Linked DNA regions of Cricetulus griseus. The protein of the gene in region 1 purifies or fractionates together with the protein of each later gene. This does not show direct contact. Links are inferred from orthologs where the notes say so. Each region holds a gene or a part of one and is shown in the gene's direction. Other genes may lie near its edges.

Region 1 (4,513 bases):
GGTCTCTCCTCAGAGCTCTCAGAGACCCCTAAATTGAACACCCCACCCCAGAGTCTCTGCCTGTCCTGTCCTCCCCCCCACCATCCGTACCCCCCCACCCCCGCAGCCAGCTCCTAAACTCCTTCAGGGAAAAAAGATGATAGAATCTGTTGCTCTCAACTCCTGCCCTCAGTGAAGTACCTTTCCAAAGTGGACTGTGAAAAAAAAAATCTTTTTAAGTGGATCGATTAATGAAACCAGTCCACTGACAAATACAGAAGCGAGAGCTGTGCTAAGCTAACAGAGGCTGGTTTTGCTTCGTGACAATTTGTCTTGTTTGGTTTTTGTTTTTGGAGACAGGGTCTCATGTAGCCCAGATCGCCTCCAAAGCACTGTGTAACCCGGGTGAAATTTTAACTCGCATTCTTTTTGCTTCTTGGCATTTTCTGATGTTTCTGTGATGAGTATGGTTTACTTTTTCAATAAAGACCTACAAGGAAACTTTCTGGCGGGGTGAGGGAAAGAATGTTGCAAAGGATGTTGAAAAGGACCTCCCCACCCAAATTAGAAGAATCAAGGAAGAATTTAGAGAACCTCAGAGCAGGATATGGTGGTCCATGGCTGTCACACCAGCACCAGCAATGCAGAGGCAGGAAGATAGAGGTTTGAGGATAGCCTGAGCTACATACGCAAATCCAGGTCGCAGGGCTACAGAAACAAATTACGAAGCATGATGAGTTCAAGGCCAGCCTGGTTTACAAAGCCAGACCCAAGCCAGACAGAGCTGCATAGTAAGATTCTGTCTCAAAATACTAAGTGTAAACTTAAATAAAGAATAAACACAATAAGATCTCACAGGCAAAGGAGGCAGGGGCAGCCAGCCACACACCACCTGCAGGCTTCGAGGTGGGGCAGAGTAAGGGTGTGGCACCAAGTGGGGTAGAGAATGTGAGGAGTAAACACTGGATGACGAATTTCAACTCGACTCTGTGAATGAATTAATTTTTTTGAGTAAATGAGAAACGCTCAGATTGGCACCCGGAGCGTTCCAGCGGCCACAGTGCTCAAATAAGTATGTTCAGTCCGGAAAGGTTTACAAGGAGGGGTTGGAGAGAAAGCAGGCCAGGCAAACAGGGGCCGGCAGACTTGATGCGGGAATCTAAAAAGGTTCTTTAGATTAGATGACACCCGGGGGTCTTCCACCGTAAACTCTTAGGCGCAGCGCCCGAAACGAACAGGAAAGGCTCCCGGGTAAAAGTAGCCGGGTCTGGAGGTCTGGAGAGACCCCAAGACGGTGGGAAGGAGAAAGAAGAAAGGAAAGAGGGTCTCAGGAACGAGTCCCGGAAGGGCAAGGTGCAGGGCGGGCTCCGCACCCCGGTGGAGTCAGAGTCTTAGAACCTGGGGCTGGGGAGGGGACGAGGCATGGGCGGGGCAGGTGGGCCGGGGGCGGGGTCGGCATCCTCCGCACATGCGCATCGCAGCTGGCGGATGGCCGTAAGGAGTGGCACTTTTTAAAAGTGGAGACGTAGGCCAGCCCCCAGCCTCAGCGTTTCTCAGTCCGCTGCCGCGAACCTTCTGTCCCAGTCGTGCGCGCCTCTTGTCCCACGCAAGTCCCGCTTACACCATGCCGGTCAAAGGGGGTAGCAAGTGCATCAAATACCTGCTCTTCGGATTTAACTTCATCTTCTGGGTGAGTGAGAGGCGACTGTCACGCGCTCCTCTCTGAGGCCACCTGTTCTCGAGCTCCGGACGGCGGCGTCCGGAGCCGTGGGTGTCCCGGCGCCCGGCAGCTCGGGGAGCTGGTACTGCGAGCGCCAGGCGGACTCGGGGCGAGAAGAGAAAGGCGCGGCGGCTGCCAACTGGCCACGGTCTGGACGGGCAGGTGGGCGGGAGAAGCGCGGTCCTAGTGGCCCGGGCTGTGCACTCCGCTCCCGGGCCCCTCGCCGCCGAGGATCTGAGATGGGGTCTGTGTCCGCTGCCACCCGGAGCACCCCGATTGCTACAGGGGAAGTGTCGGGGAGGAGGAGCGGAGCACCCCGTTTCGAGTAACTCGAGGCCCTCCCTGGCCCGTGAGGCTCCTGGCGAGCAGGGCAGTGAGTGTCTCCCACCTCGGTGGTCCCACAGTGGCAAAGGGGTTCCCACGAGGGGCTCCTGGCACCCTCACTCTGGAGAGAAAGCGGGTCGGGGAGTCCTGCACCTGGAGGACGGGCTTTCCTTGTTCACAGTCTCGACTCTCGGTCCCCGTGAGAACGTCCGTGCCTCTCTCCAAACTACCTGAAAGACTAGGTTGTCTTGATTCTTTTTCAAAAGCGATAACTATCTTGGCTGGAGAGAACTCTGGCAGAGTTAGGGAGAGGAGGGAGGGGAAGGTGCCCGTCGGCGCCTCTAGGTGGTATGAGTCCGGAGTTTCTGCATTTCCAGGGTAATGAGGTACTCTGGGCTTGAGGCCTCCCCACCCTCCTAGAAACGGCCAGGCGGGGCCGCAGGAATGGCCGTTCACCTGGAGAGGCTGCGGAGCAGAGCGGAGCGGGGCGGGGTGGGGTGGGGTGGGGAAAGAGGAACTAGTAGACACTCCCTACCTCTCCGCGTTTGGAAGTCTGGGAAAAGCAACCGTGTCCGCTCCCTACGGAGATACAAGGACGACCCTTGTGTCCTGCTTCTGAGAGGTCACACCCCCTACACACAAATGGGCAGCATTTGATCCCAGGCAGGCAGGAAAGGGTTTGGCCAGGCAGCCCCTCAAGAGAGATGACGGTAGAGACGCGTTATGTACCACCAGAGACTTTTAACCAAAACAAAAGTGCACTATTCCCTTGGAGCCTGCCACCAGGTGCTTATCATCCTCCAGCCAGTGTAAGTTTTAATACTGTCCAGGGCTGCTCGGGAGTGTTCTGCAGCCTACAGACACTGCTCTTGAGTTTCTAGGAGTCGCCACACCCATACATCTTAAGAGGATGTCAGAGGGGCATTCCCTCCTGGTGTTTCCCCAGCTCAGCAGACCGGCAGGCCAGCTCTCAGGCTTGGCTTGCCCAGCTCATCTGCTCCAGCATCACAAAACAGTCTTGACTGCTGGCCCCACCCAACCCCGCCCTGTCCTTTGGGGAGTTTTCATTGCCCTACCCTAGCCGGCTGTCTCCCCTGCCTGTCTGTTGTTTAGTCCCCAACTGTCTGCCTAGATGAGGTGAAAGTTTAGGGTTAGGAGGAACACAAAGTGCCGTAGCAAGTCTGCGTCCCCCATCTGCCCCCATGGCATCTGGAAGGGGCTGAAGGGAGGTGCCCATGACCACCCTGTGTCTACTCAGTCTGTTGCCTGCTGGTCTGCAATCTGTCTAACTTGTCTCCTGCCTGCTACTCTGTTCTATCCAGAGCTCCCTGCCCGGGCTAGACAGAGCCGGTTGACTAATACCTCATGAAACAGAACAATCTCATTCTGGAAGGACTTGGTTCTAGGGTTGCGAACCGCTTGTGCACCAACTGTAGATGCTAAGCTCTTCTGTTCACATTGGGCAGATGAGAGTGCCAGGGCAGTGACTTACCCAAGACTGCAAGCTGAGATAGTACTGTATCCCCTTCGCCCCTCCCGTTTTCTTCCTGCCCTCTTCTATCTCTCTTACCATTTGGGGGTAAGTTAATTATTGTTACCTGTCCTACCCTTGGGTCCCATAGGGACAAAGCCCCATCCTGTTACAGTCTCCGTGTAAAGTATTTTACAGTCTGTAGGGCCTCCCCTAGGCCCATGATGTAGCCTGAGAAGGAAGCGTTATCCCCATTTTACCTACTGATGACAAGAAATCTGCTCCATGAAAGGTTAAGTGACATATCCAGGGTCAAGTGACAGGACATTATCAAGTGAGGTACCCAACTGGGTTTGGCTATTGGGTGGGAGTAGAAGAAGGGTGAGATGAAACTCCTCAAAATCTTTTATGGCAGGCTGTGATCTCAGGGGACCGCTGGGATTATTATGATGTTGCCACTTCTCTCTCTTGAGACCAGTGATTTATGAACTTGACATTTGGAACCTGATACTGGCTTTGAAAAGTAGGGGCCACCTTTGTGTGCAGAAGATAGATCCTAAAGGGATGGGTGGCAGGAATCCAAAGAGAAGCCAGTCTTAGCTGCAGTGGGACAGTGCAGAAAAGGACCGGAAGAGGGGAGCCTTGCCTTTCTCCTAGGCCTGAGCATGTCCCCTGTGGGTTGCTCCATGACAGCTGAGCCTTCCCAGCCTGCCCTCCTGATGCTGGGTGTCTCATACCCACAACCACGCCAGCAAGCAGTCTGTTTTTCCAATATCTTCAGAGCCAAACCTCCCCAGCCTATTTCAGTGGTTCCTGAATTTTCCTCAGACCTCATGTCTATCCCTTCACTCCCTCCAAAAAGAAGAAAGAAAAGAAATAATAAAAGAGGGGGAGGAAAACATCTTTCTCATGTCTAAATGACAGGAGATGGGGGTATTTCAAGCTGTGATGTGGTGACCAGCCTTGGGCCAGACCAGGAATGTAATGTGCTTTTTTCCATTAATTTTTTGTTTGGGGTC
Region 2 (3,996 bases), on another chromosome or scaffold:
TCAGCTGCAGGAGACGGTTTTCCCAGACACCTTTTCAAATAACAAAGACCTTAGGTCATAGAGCCCAGGCTGAAAGAATCTAGTGTTTCTGGTTATCTTTAGTAGTCTGTGGGTTCCTGAAATTCAGCCAGAAACTGATTGATTCCTAGCTGCTGCGGAAGGTTCTGGCTTGTTCTCTAGCTCCCCCAGGTGGTCCAGTGAAAATTTAACTTAACAAACCGGTAACAGCAATGGGGAAGAACAATTGGATTTAAAACTTCACAGTTCGATAGAAGGTCCCCTACCAGGAAATAATAAAGAAAAGCAAAGGTTGGGGGCAAAGTGCTAGTGTGTGGAGTTTTAAATACTGTAGAAGAACTCATCCTATTTGTAGTTGGGGGGGTGCATCGACACTTCTAAGTTAACACAGTTTGTTCACTTCAACCTAGCGATTTTGGGCATACTTGAAGCTGAAAAAGAAAGAAGAAAGTCTGGGTTGTCGTCGAGAGTTCAGTTTCGACACCAAGGTTCTGAGCCAAAGTATACTCAGGAGCTAACTCTGAACCGGCAGAAGCAGCGGGCATGCATGGAGGAGACCCTCTGGCTGCAGGTGAGCAAGCATGTGGCAGTCATCTCCGTGTTGCAGAGAACAGTGCTTTCCTGATGCTTAGGTTTCTGAACAACAAGCTGCTCATCAATGCGCTGCCATTGCTTTGGAGGTCTGTCCACCGTTGACCACACTCACCCATGACTCTCCTCACTTTGCAGGAAAACATCAGAGACAAGCTGCGTCCCATCCCCATCACCGCCTCTGTGGAGATCCAGGAGACCAGCTCTCGCAGGCGGGTCAATTCACTTCCCGAAGTTCTTCCCATCTTGAATTCGAATGAAGCCAAGTCCGTCCAGACAGATGTAAGCCATCCTGGTTTCTGTTTTTGCCAGTGTTATAGAAATAGGGATTTGCTTTACAGGCCACTTACTTATGGCCAGGTTTGGTGGTATTGTGTGTGCCTTTAATCCCAGCACTTGGGAGGCAGAGGCAGGAGGATGCCTGTGAGATCAAGGCTAGTCTGGTCTATACAACAAGTTCTAGGCCAGCCAGGGTTCATGATGAGACCCTATCTAAGAAAAAATAATAATAACTACTTATTTCTGTATACATAATTGGCCTGTTAGATGGAATTTTGGGGCCTAGCAATATTTGTCTTCATTGTACCACTGAGTATAGCACAGTGTGATGATAATATATATTATTAAAACATTAAACTCAATGAATAGCAAAACTTAGCAAAGCAAAAGAAAATTAGACATGATGAAATACTTTACCTAATGCAGCTTAGGTCACTGTAGGAAGAAAATAAGTATTCTATCGCTGCTGGACATGTCATGTAAGACGAAGTCAGTGTGCTAGGACAGAGTGGAGATTCAAGATGAGCCTAGAGAAGTTTGACAGCTTGACCTTGAGTCATCATCATGATTATTTTGTTTTGTTTTCCAAGACAGGGTTTCTCTGTGTTGCCCTGGCTGTCTTGGAATTCGCTCTATAGACCAGGCTGGCCTCGAACTCAGCAATCCGCCTGCCTCTGCCTCCTGAGTGCTGGATAAAAACACTCACCACCACCACCACCCAGCTATTATTGTCATCTTGATTACTGTTTTGGTGCTGGGAATTGTATCGCCTGGTCAACGTGTCTTTATAGAGGACACAGCAGAACCAGGTGTTTGGCAAAGGAGGGTAAAGTACCACAGGAAAATGAGCTGTGAAGACTTTTAGGACCTGACCTCTCTGCATTTGGTTCCCTACAGGTACACTTCTTAAAGGAGGGGTGTGGAGATGACAATGTCTGTAACAGCAACCTTAAACTAGAGTATAAATTCTGTACCCGAGAAGGCAGTCAAGACAAATTCTCTTACCTTCCAATGTAAGAATCATGAGAAGTTACTCTGACCTCTAGGCTTTGGTTAGAAAGAGAATTGCACGTGTTCAGATTCTCTTTGTGTTTTTCTTTCTTTTTTAATAGTCAGAAAGGCATCCCAGAATTAGTCCTAAAAGATCAGAAGGATATAGCTCTGGAAATAACAGTGACCAACGGCCCATCTGATCCAAGGAATCCCAGAAAAGATGGTGACGACGCTCACGAAGCCAAACTCGTTGCAACTTTCCCTGACACTCTCACATACTCTGCATACAGAGAGCTGAGGGCTTTCCCTGTAAGTGTTTTTGAGAAACCAGCGGGGAGGGAAAGAACAAGACCACACAGTCCGTGAATAAACCATGACCCCATGCCTTTCTGCCCCAGGAGAAGCAGCTGAGCTGTGTCGCCAACCAGAATGGCTCTCAAGCTGACTGTGAGCTCGGGAATCCTTTTAAGAGAAATTCCAGTGTAGGTGATGCCTCCACGCGCTCTGTCGTACTGTTCTGATTACCTGTACTGTGCCCAGGGGCCTGGCCCTTGGTAACAGTTGTTTATATGTATTTTCTTTAGGTTACTTTTTATCTGATTTTAAGTACAACTGAGGTCACATTTGACACCACAGATCTGGATATTAATCTGAAGTTGGAAACGTAAGAGTTACTTCAACCTTCCCATTCATACTTATTTCATGAGAACCCCAGAGTCACTGAATTAGCACTGATCTAACTCATAAAAGAAATGTAATTGTAATGAGAAAACTGACTGTTCAAATAAAACCCATTGTTTCCCCTTTCATTTTCAGAACAAGCAATCAAGATAATTTGGCTCCAATTACAGCGAAAGCAAAAGTGGTTATTGAACTGCTTTTATCGGTCTCCGGGTAAGTGTTGTGTTTGGCATAACAAATCAATGTTTGAAAGGACCATTTATAATTCTCACTAAAACGGGTGTTTTTTTAATTTGACAGAGTCGCTAAACCTTCGCAGGTGTATTTTGGAGGTACAGTTGTTGGTGAACAAGCTATGAAATCTGAAGACGAAGTAGGAAGTTTAATAGAGTATGAATTCAGGGTAAGTCGGAGCAATCGGTCCTAGATACAGTCTTGATATGTCGTTTTAATGATCAGTCAGTTGAACATGTTTGCTGGGTTTTAACAGTGAACACTTTATCCTCCCACGTAGAGAAGAACTATGACTCAGCAGAGACTTGTGGTTCCGAATCCAACTCTGCTAACCCTTACCAGGGAATTGTAATATATGTGTGGTGTAGGTACAAAGTAATACTTAATTTTTTTGCTCAGAGTCTATAAAACAAAGAAATAGTTCCGGGTAATTTGTAGTTGACCTTAGAATGTATAGTTGGTTTCTTCCTCTATAAGAAAGTCATTTTTTCTGGTGCTCTTGGCTGAAGGAATATTCACATTTACTCCCTTTCACAAGCCCAATTGTGTGATGGTGCCAGCAAAGAAAGCAGATGATGAGCTCTCACAGTGGGCAACCACTGTGACTCTGGGTCCAGTCTAACAAACTTGAACATGGACTGTGATGTCTGCCTATGATGCATATGGATTCGGGTCTCCATGGTGCAAATTGAGTTCCTAAAATGCTGGTGAGCAATGAGGTTAAAGCCTGAAATGGCAAGAACAGACTTGACCCAAATCCAGCACACTGAAGAGGCTAATTCTCTCAAGAAATGCCGGCTGGTGTGGGCTCTGTGCAGTCAGGCAGATGAGGTTCTAGAATTGTGTGCCATGATGCTCAGGGCCCCGTTGGACAAAGCTACTCCACTCCCAGCACTTGCCCTGAGCTGTCTCCCTGTGTACAAATAGATGAAGAGATTGCTTCATTTTCATGGTAGGGACATTTTCCAGAGCAGGATTTGGGTACCAAAGCAGAGGCTTTGTCATCTGCCAGGTAGGATGCTCGCTGAGCAATTCGCCAGTGCACCCAGGACTTTTCCTTGTGCTTTTGGGAACATGTCAGAACTGCACTGTGGGTTTTGTTACATATGATAGTTACCCCTGGATTGAACTAGCAATCCTTTCTTTTTGACCTTTCCTTTTTCCTTCTATTTTTTTTTTATGATAAGAATCTTGTAATTT
Region 3 (2,910 bases), on another chromosome or scaffold:
TGGTGGTTGGGGGTGCCCAGGCTGCAGACTCGGGCACCTACCACTGCACTGCTGCTGAATGGATTCAGGATCCTGACGGTTCCTGGGTCCAGATCGCAGAGAAGAGGGCAGTCCTGGCCCATGTGGATGTGCAGACATTGTGTGAGTGTCACATGTCCCCCTGAGGGGGTATCTCAGTGGGCATCAGGGGTGGTGCTACATGACCATCATCCTGCTACATCATCTTCCCTGGAGTGAGCCAGCCGTCCAGGCATTACTCACTCTCTATCCATGGTTTCTCTGCTCAGATATTGAATGTGGAGATACAAGGGCTATGGTGGAAGGGTGAAATTCAGGTCCTGGGGTGAGGGACAGATAACAGGCCTCTACGTTTTTTTGCAAAGAGGTATTGAGGACGGGCCCCAGGCATCTCTGTGACTCCTTCCTTCCCCTGCTGTGTTTCAGCCAGCCAGCTAGCAGTGACAGTGGGACCTGGTGAGCATCGGATTGGCCCAGGGGAACCCTTGGAACTGCTATGCAATGTGTCAGGGGCACTGCCCCCAGCAGGCCGGCATGCTGCGTACTCGGTGGGCTGGGAGATGGCTCCTGCAGGGGCTCCTGGGCCTGGCCGCCTGGTGGCCCAGCTGGACACAGAAGGTGTAGGCAGCCTGGGCCCTGGCTACGAGGGCCGCCACATTGCCATGGAGAAAGTGGCATCCAGAACCTACCGGCTACGATTGGAGGCTGCCAGGCCTGGTGATGCAGGCACCTATCGCTGCCTCGCCAAAGCCTATGTTCGAGGGTCTGGGACCCGGCTTCGTGAAGCTGCCAGCGCTCGTTCCCGGCCCCTCCCTGTGCATGTGAGGGAAGAAGGTGAGAGCTGAACCCTTGGCAGGGTTCAGAGGTTACAGAATTTATTTCCTAGCCCCTGAGCCTTCACCCTGTAACCCCCATGTCCCTTGCTCTGCAGGTGTGGTGCTGGAGGCCGTGGCATGGCTCGCAGGGGGTACTGTGTACCGGGGAGAGACTGCCTCCCTGCTATGCAACATCTCTGTGCGTGGTGGTCCCCCGGGGCTTCGACTAGCCGCCAGCTGGTGGGTGGAGAGACCAGAGGAGGGCGAGTTAAGTTCTGGCCCTGCTCAGCTTGTGGGTGGAGTGGGTCAGGATGGTGTGGCAGAGCTGGGAGTCCGGCCTGGAGGGGGTCCTGTCAGTGTGGAGCTGGTGGGACCCAAGAGCCATCGTCTAAGACTACACAGTTTGGGGCCTGAGGATGAAGGCATATACCACTGCGCCCCAAGCGCCTGGGTGCAGCATGCGGACTATAGCTGGTACCAGGCGGGCAGTGCGCGCTCCGGACCTGTCACAGTCTACCCTTACACACATGGTGAGTGGAAACTACCCTCCACTCATCTGCTCCAACCGTGTTTGCCCCCTTCTGCTTTCCTGTCTTCCCTGCTATCCTTTTCCTGTATCCCTTTGCATGAAGAGCCCCAAACTGACCTCCGTGCTGATTGGTGCGGTTGTAGGTGGGCAAGGATGGCCCACTGAGTCAGGAAAACCTGCTGGGGAGAGTGCCAGAGAACTGTACGACAGCCGGTGGAGGACCATGGCACTCTCTGAGCAGAGCCATCTTTCTTCCAGCCCTGGATACCCTATTCGTGCCCCTGTTGGTGGGTACAGGAGTTGCTCTAGTCACTGGCGCCAGCGTCCTTGCTACGATCACCTGCTGCTTTATGAAGAGGCTGCGGAAGCGGTGATCTGTAGCACCCCAGGTGAGGGAAAGGGTACCCCAAGTCCCATCTTCCTCGGGCTTCCTGTGTGCTCCATCTGGACAAGAAGCTGCCAGCTCAGTCAGTCCTGCAGGGTCATGTAGCAGGGTGAGGGCCAAAGGGAGCCTGGTCCTCAGCCTTCTCCACATACTCTCTCTAGTTTCTGCAGGTGTCAACTGTCTTCCAGCCAGCGCCGCTCCTCCTCCGGTTGCCTAGATACCCTCCCCTCCTCCGCCCAGCCCTCCTTTAATTTATTTGTCCTGTCCCTGCCTAGAGTGGAAGCTGCGGCTCCCCAGTTCCTCACACCTTTCCTCGGGTTCTCTGTCCTTGGTCTCACACTCATGCTGTAGGAAGGCCAGTTCCTGTCCTCAAACTAGTTTTTGTTTTGTTTTGTTTTTTTAAAATGTGAATAAACTGGTTTTATAAAATCCAGGCCTGGTTGTGTTTTCCCTTGCCACGAAGCTATAAAAGGCAGCAGCGGGGGTGCGTGGGGAGGGGGTGGTTGTTAGTAGGGAGATTGTTGGGGCTTGACAACCTATTCTGGACAACCCAGGCCTCTTTTCCCACCATAAACACCATCTGTCCTTGGTGGGCCTTGCTACCCACCCACTGCAGGAGGGGATGCCTGGGTCCCATCTGTTGCCTAAAATGTCAGTGAGGAGCCAACTCCTAATGGGGCTTCCACATAGGAAGAGAGGGTGAGTTCCAGCTGAGCTTGGCCCTTTTCACAGCATCCAGAGAGTCTTTCTAGGCTCCCCAGACTGGGGCACACCCTCCTCAGTCTCATTCTCCTGGTTGGGCTAGTCTCGGGCCAGACTCCTCCCACCAGGCCCTGGGGCCTCAGTCTTTGTCATCCTGACCTTAATTATTCTCTGACTACAGCAGAATGGGAGCCTCGGAACACAGCTGCCTACTTAGGGACAACAGCAGTCGGGAGGTCCTGTGTCCTCTGTGTACACAGAGCCGCTGCATCTCCCTGCCTGAGGGTTCTCGGGTCCGGAGAGTCTCGGCTGTTCTGTGCTTCAGGCGGCATCCAGTCTTCCCTTTTCATTTAGTAATTTAACATTTATTGAGCACTATGAGTTTGCCAAGTATCATTTTCTTTTTGTACAGATAAGGAAACTGAGGCCCAGAGAAGTAATGTGTCTTGCTGAGAGCCATA
Region 4 (3,996 bases), on another chromosome or scaffold:
AGAGAATTAAGATTTTGAATTCTTTCCATTTCCTAGCCCTGTTAATCATTCTTGGAGAAGTCAGGATGTTATAAATTTCATTAGAAGTGTAAATCACAAAAGAACAGTTCCTTGACCTCAGCAGTTTATAATCCATGTGAGTCATAAATAAAAGCAGCAAGAAATAAAACAAAATTGCTAAAGGTGATGGAGATAAAGAGAGCCCTGGAAAGTGGAAGGCTCTGTTTAAGTCGAATGATTTTTCTTATAGAAGGCAAAGCGCTTGGAGCAAAGAAAATGTAGACTTTTCTAATAACCTTACCATTAATCCAGGGGATATATCTTGAATTCCTACTGTGTTCCAGGATCTTGGGGATGAGACTCCCAAGCAAAGAGTAGTTGCAGAGTGAATAACTGGTGTAGGAAAGATGTATGGGAGCTCAGAGAAGGAGAGCCATCATCCCTAGGGACACTGAGGGTCGCAGACCATCCCAAACACTGTTGTACCACAAGGGCATCCACCTATATGGTAGTTAAAAGCCTGTGGAGGGGGAGTGGAAAGGAAGGAAGGCTACCAAGGGGTTCTAATACATGTTCCTTAAGGAGGCAAGTGAGGAGGAGCCTGCAGCCAGTAATGATACAAGCGTGGAAACACTGTGGGGAAGCGGGTGGTGATATTGAGCAGACTTACCAGGGCCAGGTTCACTATGTGATGGCTTCATGGTTGGCAGAGTTACAGGGTGAGTTATTTGTGGCAAGAAAAGGAAGTCCTTTGGGGAGTCTAAGCTAGGGGGTGTTGGCTGACTGAATACAGATTCAGTGGAAAATAGCAAATGATGATAAGAATATGAATGAGGACCTGGGGACCTTGCATTTGGGGCACAGCCAGGAATGGCAGGAACCTGAGCCCTAGTGGGCCTCAGACTGTGGATTGTCCTCTGTGTTAGAACTTTGCATTACTGTTCCAGTGGGAGCTTCGGAGGTCTGTGGGCTTGCTTGGCCTCCCAGAGACAGTCTTGATAGGATGTGGACACTTAAGTTTCTGAGATCACCCTCAAAGATTCCAACTGCCTGTAGCACCTGCTAGCATCCCTCATCCTATGAATAAGTGAGGATTCTGACCCTGGGCATTTAGCTTCCTGCCTTGGGCCTTTTCTATTTTTAAATTGAACCTTATTTTTTAATGTATATGGGTATTTTGCCTGTATGTTTGTCTGTGCACCGCATGTGTACTATGTTCTCTGAGGCCATAAGAGGGGATTGATTCCTGGAATTGGAGTTACAGATGGTTGTGATTGCAGTGTGGGTTTTGGGAATTGAACCCAGGTCCATTGCAAGAGCAGCAAGTGTTCGTAACTTCTCAACCACCTTGGCAGTTTTCTTAAGGCAGATATAGGAAGAAGTGATTTAGAAACACTCTTATAGGGTCTTTGCTGCCCAACACAAAGACTTGATTTCTATCCTAGGAGTTGATAAGATGGACAATTTGTCACAATATGAGCGGTTCTTGGCTTGTTCCCTTTGCCAATTCTTATGTTGCTGTGTTTTTGCTCTCTCATCTTCAGAACCAGAATACCAAGTCTACCTGAATGCGTCTAAGGTCCCTGGGTTTTCAGATGACCCCACAGAACTGCAATGCCGGGTGATAGACATGAAGCGCGTGGAGGCCGGTGTCCGACTTACCGTGTCATGGTACTACAGAATGAACCGTCGCATTGGTGACGAAGTGGTGGCCAGTGAGCTTCTTGCAGTCATGGATGGAGACTGGACTCTAAGATACGGAGAAAGGAGCAAGCAGCGGGCCCAGAGTGGAGAGTTTATATTTTCTAAGGAGCACACAGACACATTCAGTTTCCGGATCCAAAGGACTACAGAGGAAGACAGGGGCAATTATTACTGTGTTGTGTCTGCCTGGACCAGGCAGAGAAACAACAGCTGGGTCAAAAGTAAGGACGTCTTCTCCAAGCCTGTCAACATATTCTGGGCCTCAGAAGGTAGGAACTTCATGTTGGTCGTCGTTCCGTTTTGTTTTAGTTTAAGTCATCTGTCTGTGTCTGTTTCAGTTACCATCACCCTCCACTCACACTGCAAATCTATACTGATACTTGAGGAAACTGTAATCCCCCATGATCCTCCTTGCCCCCCTTTATAGACTCTGTGTCCCCAAGCTACGAGGGAAGGGCCTCTGCAACTCACTGTTATTAGCAAAGCCTTGCATTTTCTGCACCCCATTGTTTCTTTTTCTTCTTTTCAGCTGCCTGCCTCCTCTCTGAGAGCAGTTGTCCCAGAAACCCTCCTAAGTGATAAAGTTTTCCTCTCGCATTCCTTGCAAAGAAGTCAGGTACCCTCCTGTTCCTCAGTGAGATTTCTACCATTTCCCCTCTGAATCTCCTTGCCCAGGGCCATATCTCTTCCTCCTCCCTCTTTCTCATAGCCCCTCTTTCTCATAGCCCCTCCTATCACTAACTTGATTGACTCCTGGGTCTTCTGTTCATTTGCTGGAGATGCCAGCCTTGCTTTCACGGCCACTCTGTTACTACTCCTATCTGGCTAGCTTTATTGAAGTCATCCTGGAAGATTTCAAAAAGCAAAGATCCCAGTAGAAATTATGTTTGGATTGGTCCGAGGTGTGTGTAGTCTGGACGCTGGTATTGAATCCTCTCGAGTAGCTACCATGGAGAACCCTGGTGTAGACAAGGCTTTCATTGTCATTCCCCTGTCCTTGTCTAAGTTCTCTCCAAGTGTCACATCCTCTGTCCTTTTGGGTCCTTCATTCCCAATTCTGAAAATCAGACCAGCTCACTTTTGATAGCTGAAACCCAACTCCTCCATAGCTGAAGTTTAACATGCCTGGTTCTCTGTGCACACAGTCTTTCTAGATTATTCCCTGTAGTGTTTCAGACCTATTCATCCTACCATCTGACATTGTCCTTCTTCCTTACTTGGTCTTCGCTTCTCTCTTACCAGAAGTCCACCATGTACCTGTGGGTCCAAGGCCAAGGGCCAAGGGGTAAGGAGAATTATATGATCACCACAGTGATATCTTAACCTAAGTTCCCAGTCAGTCATGTCCCTCCTTTGCATCCTTAACTCCCTAGCCACCGGCTTGGTCTACCCTATATTCTACTTAAAACACAACCCTATTTAAAGCCAACTTTGCTGTCTCCTTGGCTGCATATGCAGAGCTAGAGGCACTTGAAGGAGAAAACATTCCAACAGTGGTCTGGTTTCACTTTAAATCTCCAATCCCTTCTGTCATATGGGCTCTCAACATTGAGAGCCATTCTGGTTTCCTTCATGTGTTTACTTCCCCACTCTCCTAAGTGATAATTGCATGCCACCTGCTCTCTCTACAAACATCCTCCCCCAGCCTCCATCAGCTTCTGGCCTTGCTTCTCCATCCCCTATAAAAAGATAGTCAAAGGAGAACTTCATCTGCCAGCAGCATTGAGCCTGTTACTCACCCTAATGTCTTAGCAACGGTCAGCCCCTTTCACAGCTCAGGCACATGACCCTCTCTCTTATGTCTTTGATAGTCTCTCTCCTCTGGTCCTTCCCAACCAGCCTGTTAACATTGCTGTTAGGAAAACTAATTTTGATTGTTTTGTTAAACAGGGTTTCTCTGTTTAACACTCCTGGCTGTCCTAGAACTCGCTTTGTAGACCAGGCTGGCCTGAAACTCACTGAGCTCTGCCTGCCTCTGCCTCCCAGGTGCTGGAATTAAAGACGTGTGCCACCACCACCTGGCTATCTTCTTCTTTCATCTTTCTGTTTCTTATAACCCTTGCCCACCGCTCTGTCCTTTGGTAGCAGTGGATTTGATTGAACTATATTTAATTTCTCTATTTCTCCTCCATTTTTCTTTGGGACCTACTTTCCCCTCACTGCACATATTAAGATTGCTAGACATCAACACACTACAGAAACCTGTTATCATTTTTCTTCCTTCCAGAAATGCCTTGGCTTTCCCATGGCTTGTAGGATGCCTTCCCCAGATTTGTTTCTGTATTCACTGGA

Evidence for each region.
Region 2: the proteins of Cd9 (region 1) and Itga6 purify together in Homo sapiens (co-immunoprecipitation; 3 studies listed by BioGRID and IntAct, with this or other methods). This does not show direct contact. The link is inferred for Cricetulus griseus from reciprocal best matches to the Homo sapiens genes CD9 and ITGA6.
Region 3: the proteins of Cd9 (region 1) and Igsf8 purify together in Homo sapiens (affinity purification with mass spectrometry; 5 studies listed by BioGRID and IntAct, counting the BioPlex papers as one, with this or other methods). This does not show direct contact. The link is inferred for Cricetulus griseus from reciprocal best matches to the Homo sapiens genes CD9 and IGSF8.
Region 4: the proteins of Cd9 (region 1) and Ptgfrn purify together in Homo sapiens (co-immunoprecipitation; 8 studies listed by BioGRID and IntAct, with this or other methods). This does not show direct contact. The link is inferred for Cricetulus griseus from reciprocal best matches to the Homo sapiens genes CD9 and PTGFRN.

Annotation. Positions count from the first base shown.
Region 1 is NC_048601.1:20,948,588-20,953,100, forward strand, and holds the start of Cd9 (CD9 antigen), read left to right. Parts: upstream 1-1,452; 5' UTR 1,453-1,603; coding exon 1,604-1,669; exon of another isoform or gene 1,670-2,545; intron 2,546-2,558; exon of another isoform or gene 2,559-3,017; intron 3,018-4,513. UniProt on the Homo sapiens protein: Integral membrane protein associated with integrins, which regulates different processes, such as sperm-egg fusion, platelet activation and aggregation, and cell adhesion.
Region 2 is NC_048599.1:103,330,304-103,334,299, reverse strand, and holds part of Itga6 (integrin alpha-6), read left to right. Parts: intron 1-428; coding exon 429-589; intron 590-747; coding exon 748-891; intron 892-1,785; coding exon 1,786-1,901; intron 1,902-2,000; coding exon 2,001-2,190; intron 2,191-2,279; coding exon 2,280-2,363; intron 2,364-2,465; coding exon 2,466-2,545; intron 2,546-2,697; coding exon 2,698-2,775; intron 2,776-2,862; coding exon 2,863-2,965; intron 2,966-3,996. UniProt on the Homo sapiens protein: Integrin alpha-6/beta-1 (ITGA6:ITGB1) is a receptor for laminin on platelets. Integrin alpha-6/beta-1 (ITGA6:ITGB1) is present in oocytes and is involved in sperm-egg fusion.
Region 3 is NC_048598.1:20,542,679-20,545,588, reverse strand, and holds the end of Igsf8 (immunoglobulin superfamily member 8), read left to right. Parts: coding exon 1-141; intron 142-444; coding exon 445-852; intron 853-949; coding exon 950-1,363; intron 1,364-1,620; coding exon 1,621-1,736; 3' UTR 1,737-1,751; exon of another isoform or gene 1,752-1,908; 3' UTR 1,909-2,180; downstream 2,181-2,910. UniProt on the Homo sapiens protein: Member of the immunoglobulin superfamily (IgSF) that links tetraspanin-enriched microdomains to the actin cytoskeleton and plays several important roles in innate and adaptive immunity.
Region 4 is NW_023276806.1:55,916,156-55,920,151, forward strand, and holds part of Ptgfrn (prostaglandin F2 receptor negative regulator), read left to right. Parts: intron 1-1,544; coding exon 1,545-1,973; intron 1,974-3,996. UniProt on the Homo sapiens protein: Inhibits the binding of prostaglandin F2-alpha (PGF2-alpha) to its specific FP receptor, by decreasing the receptor number rather than the affinity constant. Functional coupling with the prostaglandin F2-alpha receptor seems to occur.